Saccharomyces cerevisiae S288C: one gene and its partner. Changing the gene in region 1 together with any one later gene gives a genetic interaction. Each region holds a gene or a part of one and is shown in the gene's direction. Other genes may lie near its edges.

Region 1 (5,829 bases):
AAAAGAAGGAAAAGAAGGAGAAGAAAGAGAAGAAAGAGAAGAAGGAAAAGAAGTCCAAGAAAGAGAAGAAAGAGAAGAAATAAGGATGCATTTTACATTTTAATAATTAGTGACCCCTCGCGTTCCCTTTTATTTGGATTTAGAAAATTTTCTATAATTATCCAATGCTTAACCTATTTCTCATTTCATATTTTATTCCATAATCTGTAAATTAGTGCTGTACGCCCATATTGAATTGAACTTATTATTTTTTTTAGGTGATATATTTGAAATAGTATACATAATTTATGTTTACATAGTTTTAGGTACTTTATATCATTAAAAGTTTTGTTTAACCTTTAAAAAATTTGTACCATTAGCAGTTATAGGTATTCATATCGTGAACTGCGCAACTTAAAATTATTCGCGGGACGAAAAAGATATACAAAATTTTTGAAAGTGAGCAAAGGATGAGATGGTGCAATCGTTACTATTTGATATTAATAAAAAGGCAATCATCACATCAACCCTTAATTAATTTATGAACAAAACGGAAAACCTTTCTATTGAGGAGACAAATGAAATAAGGGAAAAGCTGGGTATGAAACCTATTCCAGTTTTTCAAGAAAAGAATACAGACCATAAAGAGTCTTTGTCAATCGAAGAGACGAATGAGTTGAGGGCGTCCCTTGGCCTAAAACTTATCCCACCCCAACAAAATTTCAATTCTTCTCCCCCTAATGTACATAACACATCCAAAATCGATGAACTTCGAGAGAAGATAACAAAGTTTCAAAAAAAGGCGAACGCTCCTTTACGAATGGCGCACCTTCTCGAAGAAACTAATGTAAATGACGACAGTTCATGGCTAGAAAACATGGATGCAATTCCTTCCTCACATGAATCCAAACGTTCCAGCACATTGCCAAGAAAAGGCGCCACGAAGGAAGACGAAAATATTGATCTGCATAATGTTCAAGTATCATATAATATCGAGGCGCTTAGCCCAAAGAAAGATACGATTCTAACTTTGAAAGAGAGCAGTATTTTTGATGATACTGATTCTACCGAAGTGTTAGAGAATGTGAAAGCTGCCGAGGAAAACGCTGATAGAGAGAAACTACGATTACGACAAATGAATAAAGATAGAAGACAAAAAAAAAAAATTTTAAATGTATCTAGCTTAGATATTGAAGAAGAAGAAGAAGGAGAGAAACACTCAATTACAACTACACATCTAATCATCGGAGCAGAACAGGGTGTTATGAAGGCACCGAATACTATATCAGCAAAACCACCAACGGGAAAAGTTAAAGTGAATTTCGATAGCGCAAATAATATGTCAGATGAAGATGGTGGAGACTTTAAACCTTTAAAAATTAAAAAACGTAAGATCAAGGACCCAAGATCTACTAAAGCTAGGAAGTCAAAAATTACTGATAAGATGGAAATTGTTAAGTTAGTAGATGAAGATGAAAGTTTATCCTGGATGGAAGAAGAACAGCCAGTCACCATAATAAATCCCAGAACAAGCTCAAACAATGAATTGAAAGGGCCAGAGGACCTCGCTAGAGAAATTGAAAAGGCAAGAGACGAAGAGAAGCGACGCACTGAAAGCATTTTGAAAATGCGTGAAATTTCCAACAGTATTGTCGTCGACGAAAAGGTAACTTTTTTAAATACTTTGGATACCAGTCTCTCCGAACGAAGTGCTACTGAGAATAAAGTGAAAGTGCATGGTGAAGGAGAGAAAAATATCGGAGATGTTACCAATGGACATACTAAGGAAGGGAGTGGAAACAATACACTGACTGAAGCAGTTAATAATGAACCAAACTACGAGGGAGATGCTGAAAATGCACCGAACTTTTTTTCTGGTCTTGCATCAACACTAGGATATCTTCGGAAAAAGAGTGTTTTCACCACAGGAGACGTCGATTTGAAACCAGGAAAGGATGTTAATAATAGTGAATCACTTCGAAGGGATGTCCGAAATAAAGAGCATACGGGCACTGGCACTTATACAAAAGATAAGCTACACGGACTGGAACAATTCACATCTAGTGACTCTTCCAATGCAAATACTCATTCAAAAAGACAAGATCATTATGATCCTGACATAAAACTGGTTTACAGAGACGAAAAGGGAAATCGACTGACTACTAAGGAGGCATATAAAAAACTGTCACAGAAATTTCATGGTACAAAAAGCAACAAGAAAAAGAGAGCAAAAATGAAATCCAGAATTGAAGCAAGGAAAAATACCCCTGAAAATGGTAGTTTGTTTGAATTTGATGACAATTAACCTAATCAGCAAATTCTACTAGCCCCAGCTTTTAATATTCAATATCTTGTTTTTCTCAAGTTTGAAACCTGTGTATAATTGTATTTGGTGTATAAGGCTACGTGGTGGCCTTGAATTCGGAAGTACTTTTCAAACATTAATATTCTGTGATATACATTTGTAAAGACCTTTTGCGTTGTGCCTGAATCTCAAGCCATTGTGTCATTTCACAGCGAAGTGTCATTGTTTTAAGCGATAGAAGCTTGGCGCAACGATCGGATAAAAAAAATTGAAAAAAAAAAAAAATTGAAATGAAAATAAAAACAATCAGATATTCAAAAAATTGAATATCTGTATTCATAAAGAGGAGAAAAAAGAATAAAGAAAAAAAAGAAAAGAACATTAGACTACACGTGCAGCATATACCAACTATTTTTATTATATGCTTATATATGCAAAGCTTACGATATTTAGAGAGTAAGTGGATTGACGATAAAAGTGTTTAATAAGGAGCCATTCGTTTTTATAAAGGAGAAACAATACCGGCCTAACATGATTCAAACGCAAAGTACAGCGATCAAACGACGTAATTCTGTTCATAAAAACCTCTTTGATCCATCACTGTATCAAATACCAGAACCACCACGTGGGGGGTTCCAACACCAAAAAAAAGAATACAGTAAGGAGACATTCAGTAATCAAGTCTTTGGATATGATATTACTAGCCTTAAAAAAAGATTCACGCAACTATTTCCTAGTAATATACAAGGGTACTTACCTGAAGTTGACCTAAGAATAACCATTATTTGTTCTATATGGTACGTCACGTCATCTATTTCAAGTAACCTATCTAAAGCCATTTTAAGAACTTTCAACCATCCCATAGCTCTCACAGAATTGCAATTTCTTGTTAGTGCTGTTCTATGTGTTGGATTTGCTTCCATCGTAAATTTATTCCGACTACCTCGTTTGAAGCATACGAAGTTTTCAAAGGCACTCAATAGTTTCCCTGACGGTATCCTTCCTGAATATCTCGATGGCAATTTCAGGAGTTCTATCCTGCACAAGTTTTTAGTTCCCTCAAAGCTGGTTTTGATGACCACTTTCCCTATGGGAATATTCCAATTTATTGGTCATATCACATCGCACAAGGCGGTATCTATGATACCAGTATCACTAGTGCATTCCGTGAAGGCATTATCCCCAATAATAACAGTTGGCTACTATAAATTTTTCGAACATCGTTATTACAATTCCATGACTTATTATACCTTGTTACTTTTAATTTTTGGCGTTATGACTACTTGCTGGTCAACACATGGCAGTAAGAGGGCTTCAGATAACAAAAGCGGATCTTCATTAATCGGGTTGCTTTTTGCCTTTATTTCCATGATAATATTTGTAGCACAGAATATTTTTGCAAAGAATATTTTAACCATCAGAAGGAAGGTAGGAATACTGCCGTCTTCTTCTACGGATGACGTCACGTCGAAGGAAGGGCAACCGAGTCTAGACAAAACAAGATTTTCTCCATTGCAAGTGGATAAGATTACCATATTGTTCTACTGCTCCTGCATTGGGTTTTCTTTAACCCTATTACCTTTTTTAACCGGCGAATTAATGCATGGCGGTAGCGTTATCAACGATTTAACGCTAGAAACAGTAGCCCTTGTAGCGATTCATGGAATAGCCCATTTTTTCCAAGCAATGCTTGCTTTCCAGTTGATCGGTTTACTATCTTCCATTAATTATTCGGTAGCAAACATCATGAAGAGGATTGTTGTTATATCCGTGGCACTCTTTTGGGAAACAAAGTTAAATTTTTTTCAGGTGTTTGGTGTTATCTTGACAATTGCCGGATTGTACGGTTATGACAAATGGGGGCTTTCCAAAAAAGATGGACGTCAGGCATAATATGAAGTAATACTATTGAGTACAAACCATCATTCAAGGTAGGACACTTAGTACTATATCAAATATATAATCAAAAAAAAAACCCTCGAAGGTCTTTTTTATCTTATTTACTGCTACTACCTCTGTTGCTAGCATTACTTCAAGATCCTAAACTGTTACCCCACCCCCGCACCATATCAAGGTTAAAAATCCGATGTGGCGGTACTTATTTGGTTATTTATCTCATTTACATTAATATGCGTACGGGAATGGCCTTCCGCTCCGTGGAGGATAAAGTGCGGTCATTTTATTATTTTTCGAAAACAATGGCTACAATCCCTTGATTATCTCACATGCGATTACAAAGCAAAAGAGAAGATTCGCATGCAGGAGCCATACACGCGTCTTTTTTAAGGTATTTCCACGATCTCGCGGAAAAACTTATAGAACGAACAACTATTGCTTTAACTAGGAAAGAATAAGAAAAAATAGCGATCATACTAGAACCCACAGTCGAGGCACAAGGATTTTGAGGATTGCTCTACCCCTAATGCCTATTGCTTCGATTGCTGAAAGCGGATCTACTCCTTTTTCCAAGTACTCGAAAGGTTGAGAGAAATAAAAATAGACTAGTCGACGGACAATGCCAATAAAGTTTGGTTATACGAACTGCTTTAACCAAATTAATATTGGACAGACTCCGTGTTTTTTGGTTTTGCCCTTTTTTCCCGCTAGAACGACATTGTGTTTCTCCAAAATTATTCCATCTTTTCCCTCGTGTTAACAATAGAGTCACAACGCACCTGTTATTATGATCTCGGGGGTGGCTTCCCGAACATCGTCGGTTGAATACTGCGCTTTGGCGTCCGAAAAAGAAAAGATAGGAAAGGATCGAATTTTTGACATTTTTCTCAACCTGCTGCGCGCTGTTCTATAGACGTTTGAGGCACCTGAAAAAGAAATACAGCGGAATAATTACTGTTCTGCTGAATCGCCCTAGGCGGTATTGTATGAGGCTAATAATAGAGAGACATCTCTGAAAAGAAACTAGAGGAAAATTTTTCAAAAATATCTATTTTGCTCAGAGAAATGAATATAATAAAGAAGCTATTTGGTTAGATCTCCCAGTAGTTACGGGGACTAGATATATAAACTGCTTGATGTACGTTTGGAAATTCTCAAATAGCAATTCTCTCTTCAAAGTTAGTGAAGGATAGGTTATATCTGTAAAAACATACTAAGATCTGAATAACTAAGATCACGGGGGCATACTATCGATTAAAAAGCTCTGATTTTACTATAGATTAAAAAGAAAAATAATGAGCTCAGACAGTTTAACGCCTAAAGACACTATAGTTCCAGAAGAACAAACCAACCAACTGCGGCAACCTGATTTAGATGAGGATAGCATACATTATGATCCAGAAGCTGATGATTTAGAGTCATTAGAGACTACTGCCTCTTACGCGTCAACGTCGGTGTCGGCAAAGGTGTATACCAAGAAGGAAGTAAATAAAGGAACTGACATTGAAAGCCAACCACATTGGGGTGAAAATACCTCGAGCACGCACGACAGTGACAAAGAAGAAGATTCCAATGAAGAAATTGAAAGCTTCCCGGAGGGTGGATTCAAGGCTTGGGTTGTGACATTTGGTTGCTTCTTGGGTCTAATT
Region 2 (8,507 bases), on another chromosome or scaffold:
ATATATAAGTACGTGAGATCTATTTGTATAATATAATGCTAATAAAATAGTATCAACGATACTGTTGATAAAGGTAAGTCGATACCTGTTCCGTTCGCATCAAATACAAATGCCACTTATTTTGTAGAGGTATTAATGCATTATGTGAAAATTATGACTTTTTATCAAGCAAAATAAATTTGCTACTTGTGCCCTTTTTCTTTCTTTTTTTTTTTATTTGATATGCGTGCCTTTAGCATCCTCCAATTTGATAAAAGTCGGCTTGCTATTAGTCGCTGACAATAAGTTGTAATTGGTGTTAGCTTCATTTTTAATTTTTTTTGAGCCATACAAGCCATCGACATAGTAATTATTTGTAATCTTAGTCTCATAATCGAGTATGATTTTTTCAAAGCTCAATAACGCCTTCTTTAACGCATCGCCTACAGCCTCTTTTTTCGACCTGTTATAACATTCACCTCTCGAGGACAAAGTAATTCTACCTAGCCCACCACACTGTGTGTTGGTGCCATCCTTTAAGGTAACCTTTACTTGGGCTTCTGCCACAACTGTATACTTGACCTCACTAGTGTTGGTGTTTTCTCCATTATTTACTGCGGTGAAGGGCTGGCACTCCCGGGCCTCAACATCTATAACATCCATTCGCCAACCATCATACCCGAATGTTTCATTAGCGAACTGAATGAGAGCATGCCCTGGTATCAGCTTAGATAAGTTGTGCTTCCCATATTTATTATTGTGGTAAATATTGTACGTGTACCTTTCGATCTTGGACTGTAGAAGCCCAATCCTCTGCACCGACCAAGCGCTGGCAGGTCTTCCATTCCAATCTTCGATGATTTGGAACTCTTTTATATCCAAGCCCGGTGCTGTGCCGTATGTAGTCGAATCATACGATATGCTCGAACTGGGCTTCGCTTGTATCGTCATTATTTTGTCTGTTTATCCTGAAATATGCTCTTCTCCTCTACGTAACCCTTTAATGGTCCAAAGCATGTGCTAAACTGCCACAGACTCCCTCAATGATGTTCTTATCCTTCCTTGCCGTTACTGCTTCCTATCATATCTGCCCTTGCCAAACTGTGGCTTCCTCTAATCAATTTGCCCCAGTACATTGAAAAGCACGTGACGTGACACCAACTTGAAAGACATTAGTGTCCAACGCGATATAATGGTCAATAAAATACCCAATTTTATCAAGTGAACATGATATTATTCAATACTATAGTACTTTAAAGAAAACTTCAACAAGTTGCTTCATTGCTATATTATACAATTATGGGTGATGCCGGTCGGCTAACCTTTCTTTCGCAGCGCCACATACAAGAACATATGGTAATTACTAAGAACTTTTTGGAAACTATTTCCATGAAGAAAACAAAATTTACTGGCTTCTGTCTTCGAAGTAAATTTAGCGAACTTGATACTTTCGTTTGGACAGTCGTTTAGATTTGCAACTGTCTGTTCTTATTTCTTGCTATTATTACCAGAAATAAAGCCTAAAGCGCGTGGTTCTTACGAAAAAAATAGACCTTGCACATTAACAGGGTTTAGACATCACAGAGACTGAATACTGGAGAGAAGACAATTCTTGTTCACGACTTCGAGTGATTAATATCTATAACAACCCTCCTATCAAGAATGGACATCATTCAAGGACTGATACAGCAACCAAAAATTCAATCTGTGGATGAAACCATTCCGACGTTGTGCGATCGAGTTGAGAACTCCACTTTGATTAGCGATAGGAGATCCGCTGTGCTGGGATTAAAGGCATTTAGCCGGCAGTATAGAGAATCAGTGATTGCATCCGGGCTAAAACCGTTGCTCAATACTTTGAAACGTGATTATATGGATGAAGATTCGGTAAAGGCTATATTAGAAACAATTTTGATTCTTTTCATCAGAGGCGATGGCCATGACGACTTAACTAGAGGTTGGATTTCTCAACAATCGCGGTTGCAGAATGGCAAGTATCCCTCACCATTGGTGATGAAGCAAGAAAAGGAACAAGTAGATCAGTTCTCGTTATGGATTGCTGATGCTTTGACGCAGTCTGAAGATTTAATTCACCTACTTGTTGAATTTTGGGAAATCGATAATTTCCATATTAGATTGTACACAATTCAATTACTAGAGGCAGTGATGGCCACGAGGCCGTTGAAGGCGAGAAGTGCTTTGATTTCACTTCCAACGAGCATATCCACAATGGTCTCACTCCTAGATGACATGCATGAGCCCATCAGGGATGAAGCTATTTTATTATTAATGGCAGTAGTGAACGATTCACCTCACGTTCAAAAATTGGTTGCTTTTGAAAACATTTTTGAAAGGCTCTTTTCCATCATCGAAGAAGAAGGTGGGTTAAGAGGCTCTCTCGTCGTCAATGATTGTTTATCGTTGATCAATAACATCCTGAAGTATAACACTTCTAATCAAACTTTATTCCTTGAGACAGGAAACTTGCCAAAACTGGCACACCTTTTGAGTGAACCAATATCTCAAGATGAAGTTTTTTTTTGGAATGATCAAAGGATAGTTAATATCAATACAGCTTTAGATATCGTCAGCCTAACAGTAGAGCCAGGAAATACTGTCACCACTAAGCATCAAAATGCGTTGCTTGACTCAAGCGTATTAATGGTTGTGTTGCGACTTGCATTCTTTCATAATATCCCAAAAAAAGTTAGACCGGTTGCTCTTTTGACTGCCGCAAACATGGTTAGAAGTAATGAACATGCACAGCTAGAGTTTAGTAAGATCGATGTTCCATATTTCGATCCTTCATTACCTGTAAACTCTACTGCAAACGGTGGTCCAATTAAATTAATTCCTGTAGTCAGCATCTTGATAAATTGGATGCTCTATGCCAACTCCGTTCACACGTTTGATACAAGAGTTGCGTGTTCTAGACTATTAAAGGCTTATTTCATGGATAATTTTGATCTTCAAAGAGATTTTTTACTAAAACAAGTCCAATTGTGTAATAATTCAACAAATAATGTCGGCGACAATGCTAAAGAAAATGGTGGTTCTAACAAATCTGATAAAGAAAGTGATTCAGATAAAGATACCGACGGGAAGGATGGCACTGAATATGAAGGTTCTTTCAAGGCAAATCTATTCGAAGTCCTGTTAAATTATGACGCAGAATTGAATCTGAACCCTTTTAAATTATTCTTCACAACTGATATTTTTATGTTTTTTTTCCAACAGGATCACAAATATAGCGAAGAACTACGTGAAATAACAAGAAATGTTACCACCGGTAACGATCTCGAAGACGAAGAACCCTTAAAGGCAATTCAAACAATAAGTGAATTGCTAACTACTTCCCTTACTGCTGCTGACATAAGAATTCCTATTTCCTACTTAACGTTCCTAATATATTGGCTCTTTGGCGACTTTAAGGCCACGAACGATTTTCTTTCGGATAAATCCGTGATTAAATCCTTGCTTTCCTTCTCTTACCAAATTCAAGATGAAGACGTTACTATCAAATGCCTTGTAACAATGTTACTAGGTGTGGCATACGAGTTTTCCTCGAAAGAATCTCCATTCCCAAGAAAGGAATACTTCGAATTCATCACTAAAACTTTGGGAAAAGACAATTATGCTTCTCGAATCAAACAATTTAAAAAAGATTCATATTTCTCAAAAGTTGATATGAATGAAGACAGTATACTAACTCCGGAGCTTGATGAAACTGGTTTACCAAAAGTTTATTTCAGCACTTACTTCATACAGTTATTTAATGAAAACATATACAGGATCAGAACTGCATTGTCTCACGACCCTGACGAAGAGCCAATCAATAAAATATCTTTCGAAGAAGTCGAAAAATTACAGAGGCAATGTACAAAATTGAAGGGTGAGATAACTTCTTTGCAAACAGAAACGGAAAGCACCCATGAGAACCTCACCGAAAAATTGATTGCGTTGACTAATGAACACAAAGAGTTGGATGAGAAATACCAAATTTTGAATTCCTCACATTCTTCGTTGAAAGAAAACTTTTCCATTTTGGAAACTGAATTGAAGAACGTCAGAGATTCCTTGGATGAAATGACGCAACTGAGAGATGTACTGGAAACTAAGGACAAAGAAAATCAAACTGCTTTACTGGAGTACAAAAGCACAATCCACAAACAAGAAGACTCTATCAAAACTTTAGAAAAAGGACTTGAAACTATTTTGTCTCAAAAGAAAAAGGCAGAAGATGGTATAAACAAAATGGGTAAAGATTTATTCGCTCTGAGTAGAGAGATGCAAGCAGTTGAGGAGAATTGTAAAAATTTACAGAAGGAAAAAGATAAAAGCAATGTCAACCATCAGAAAGAGACTAAATCACTAAAAGAAGATATTGCGGCAAAAATTACTGAAATAAAAGCTATCAATGAAAATCTGGAAGAAATGAAAATTCAATGTAATAATTTATCAAAAGAAAAGGAACATATTTCGAAGGAACTTGTTGAGTACAAATCCCGCTTTCAGAGTCATGACAATCTAGTAGCGAAACTAACAGAAAAATTGAAATCCTTAGCAAATAACTATAAGGATATGCAAGCTGAAAATGAGTCTCTAATAAAAGCTGTAGAAGAGTCAAAAAACGAAAGCAGCATACAATTGTCTAATTTGCAAAATAAAATTGATTCTATGTCACAGGAAAAAGAAAATTTTCAAATAGAAAGAGGCAGTATAGAAAAAAATATCGAACAACTAAAAAAAACCATCTCTGACTTAGAACAAACGAAGGAGGAAATTATCTCAAAATCCGATTCTTCAAAAGATGAATATGAGTCCCAGATTAGTCTCTTGAAAGAAAAATTAGAAACGGCGACAACAGCAAACGATGAAAACGTGAATAAAATCTCAGAATTGACTAAAACTAGGGAAGAGCTGGAAGCCGAGTTAGCAGCTTATAAAAATCTCAAAAATGAACTTGAAACAAAACTAGAAACTTCAGAGAAAGCTTTGAAAGAAGTTAAAGAAAACGAGGAGCATTTAAAAGAAGAGAAAATTCAACTCGAGAAGGAGGCCACTGAAACCAAACAGCAACTCAACAGCCTACGTGCCAATTTAGAATCATTAGAAAAAGAGCATGAAGATTTAGCAGCTCAGTTGAAGAAGTACGAGGAGCAAATTGCCAACAAGGAAAGGCAATATAACGAGGAAATATCTCAATTAAATGATGAGATTACTTCCACTCAACAAGAAAATGAATCAATTAAGAAAAAAAATGACGAACTGGAGGGCGAAGTTAAAGCAATGAAGAGCACTTCAGAGGAACAATCAAATTTGAAAAAGTCAGAGATTGATGCCTTAAATTTGCAAATTAAAGAGCTGAAAAAGAAGAACGAAACGAACGAAGCCAGTTTATTGGAGTCAATCAAAAGTGTAGAATCAGAAACGGTAAAAATTAAAGAATTACAAGACGAATGTAACTTTAAAGAAAAGGAAGTTAGTGAATTGGAAGACAAACTCAAGGCCTCAGAAGATAAGAACTCTAAATATTTGGAGCTACAGAAGGAATCGGAGAAGATAAAAGAAGAACTAGATGCTAAAACGACTGAACTAAAAATTCAATTGGAAAAGATCACTAATTTATCTAAGGCCAAGGAGAAATCAGAATCTGAGTTGTCTAGATTGAAGAAGACATCTTCTGAGGAAAGAAAAAATGCAGAGGAGCAATTGGAAAAATTGAAAAATGAAATACAAATCAAAAATCAGGCCTTCGAAAAGGAAAGAAAGCTACTTAATGAAGGATCTTCAACAATTACACAAGAATATTCTGAAAAGATCAATACTTTGGAAGATGAATTAATTAGGCTACAAAATGAAAACGAATTAAAAGCCAAAGAGATCGATAATACGAGGAGTGAACTAGAGAAGGTTAGTTTAAGCAATGATGAGCTTTTAGAAGAGAAACAAAACACAATAAAAAGCTTACAAGATGAAATTCTTTCATATAAAGACAAAATAACTAGAAATGACGAAAAGCTTCTATCAATAGAGCGAGATAATAAACGAGACCTGGAGAGCTTGAAAGAACAACTCCGGGCTGCACAAGAATCCAAAGCTAAAGTTGAAGAAGGGCTGAAAAAACTTGAGGAAGAATCTTCAAAAGAGAAAGCAGAGCTTGAAAAGTCTAAAGAAATGATGAAAAAGCTAGAGAGTACGATTGAGAGCAATGAAACGGAGTTGAAATCCTCAATGGAAACCATAAGGAAATCAGATGAAAAATTAGAACAGTCGAAAAAAAGTGCTGAGGAGGATATTAAAAACTTGCAACATGAGAAGTCAGATTTGATATCCCGAATCAACGAATCTGAAAAGGATATTGAAGAACTGAAAAGTAAACTGAGGATCGAAGCAAAATCTGGCTCTGAACTAGAAACCGTAAAACAAGAGCTAAATAACGCACAAGAAAAAATAAGGATCAACGCAGAAGAAAATACAGTTTTGAAATCTAAATTAGAAGATATAGAACGTGAACTCAAAGACAAGCAAGCCGAAATAAAAAGTAATCAAGAAGAAAAAGAATTACTAACTTCGCGCCTCAAGGAATTAGAACAGGAATTAGATAGCACCCAACAGAAGGCACAAAAATCCGAGGAAGAACGTAGGGCCGAAGTCAGGAAGTTTCAAGTCGAAAAGTCTCAACTTGATGAAAAAGCCATGTTGCTTGAAACTAAATACAACGATTTGGTGAATAAAGAGCAAGCATGGAAAAGGGATGAAGATACTGTTAAAAAGACAACCGATTCTCAGAGACAAGAAATTGAAAAGTTGGCTAAAGAACTGGATAACTTGAAGGCAGAGAACTCTAAGTTGAAGGAAGCTAACGAAGATCGTTCGGAAATTGATGACTTGATGCTCTTGGTTACTGACCTAGATGAGAAAAACGCCAAATATCGCTCAAAGCTGAAGGATTTGGGCGTTGAAATTAGTTCGGATGAAGAGGATGATGAAGAAGATGATGAAGAAGACGAGGAAGAAGGGCAAGTGGCATGATAGAGTTAAAATATGTGCATAAACAAATCGCTTGAACGATCTGTTTGATTATGTGGGCAGCACTACTTTTTTGTAATTATATATGCATATATACATTTTACTGACACTAAATGTTATATTTTCTATAACATCTAACATTACTTCACGCCTTCTAATTAAAGTATAGTTTGTGCAAACAATATGTGAGCTCACGTAGACAATTGTCTAATATATCATTAATGTCCCTTGCATAGAACTTCCTTTTTTTTTCTCAGCGTCGCAATATCTCTGTCGAGAAACGCTTACGCATTATAATAAGCCAAGGAAAAATAGCGAAAAGCCGATGCAGATCTACAGGAGTGATGAAAGTACTAAAAAGATCAGAAAAGGGAATATTTGTCAAATAACCAAGTCGAAATGGAAAAAAAACATGTCACTGTGCAAATACAAAGTGCTCCCCCCTCCTATATCAAATTGGAAGCAAATGAAAAATTCGTATATATTACAAGTACAATGAACGGCTTATCTTATCAAATTGCGGCTATAGTTTCATACCCAGAAAAGAGAAATTCATCAACTGCAAATAAAGAAGATGGTAAATTACTGTGCAAGGAAAATAAACTAGCATTGTTACTACACGGAAGTCAATCTCACAAGAACGCTATTTATCAAACTTTACTAGCAAAAAGGCTGGCCGAATTCGGATATTGGGTACTAAGAATAGATTTTAGGGGCCAAGGTGATTCCTCAGATAACTGCGACCCTGGCCTTGGTAGGACGCTCGCTCAGGATCTTGAAGATTTGAGTACAGTATACCAAACAGTATCTGACAGGTCTCTTAGGGTGCAATTGTACAAAACTAGTACAATATCACTGGACGTGGTTGTGGCACATTCTAGAGGATCTCTTGCCATGTTCAAATTCTGTCTAAAATTACATGCAGCTGAATCTCCATTACCGTCTCACCTGATCAATTGCGCTGGAAGATATGATGGGAGAGGACTTATTGAACGCTGCACACGACTGCACCCGCATTGGCAAGCAGAAGGTGGGTTTTGGGCGAATGGTCCACGAAATGGCGAATACAAAGACTTTTGGATACCATTAAGTGAGACTTATAGTATCGCTGGCGTTTGCGTTCCGGAATTTGCCACGATACCACAAACTTGTTCAGTAATGTCCTGCTATGGCATGTGTGATCACATAGTGCCAATTAGCGCAGCCTCAAATTATGCAAGGCTTTTCGAGGGCAGACATTCATTGAAACTTATTGAAAATGCGGACCACAATTATTATGGCATTGAAGGTGATCCCAACGCGCTAGGCTTACCGATAAGGAGGGGTAGAGTCAACTACTCACCACTAGTAGTTGATCTAATTATGGAATACCTGCAAGATACATAGACCATACAACTACATATTAATCTAAGATAAGTCTTGTGCTGAGTTTGGTCACTTTGCGGGATCACCCGCATAAAGTCGTCGGCATTGCAGTTTAAGATCAAATAGAGGCA

What was found. Genes that interact genetically often act in the same process or in processes that back each other up.
Region 2: of SLY41 (region 1) and USO1, extra expression of one rescues a mutant of the other (dosage rescue), as found in Saccharomyces cerevisiae (2 studies listed by BioGRID).

What each region holds. Positions count from the first base shown.
Region 1 is NC_001147.6:891,079-896,907, reverse strand, and holds SLY41 (Sly41p), read left to right. Parts: upstream 1-2,815; coding exon 2,816-4,177; downstream 4,178-5,829. Other genes in the region: RNA-processing protein NOP58, read left to right, coding at 1-83; U4/U6-U5 snRNP complex subunit SNU66, read left to right, coding at 521-2,284; MCH5 (riboflavin transporter), read left to right, coding at 5,476-5,829. UniProt on the Saccharomyces cerevisiae protein: Able to suppress the functional loss of YPT1. May form a channel. Protein SLY41 is not essential for cell viability. The SLY41 gene is a multicopy suppressor.
Region 2 is NC_001136.10:344,024-352,530, forward strand, and holds USO1 (Uso1p), read left to right. Parts: upstream 1-1,641; coding exon 1,642-7,014; downstream 7,015-8,507. Other genes in the region: RAD59 (Rad59p), read right to left, coding at 214-930; YDL057W (uncharacterized protein), read left to right, coding at 7,411-8,397. UniProt on the Saccharomyces cerevisiae protein: Required for protein transport from the ER to the Golgi complex.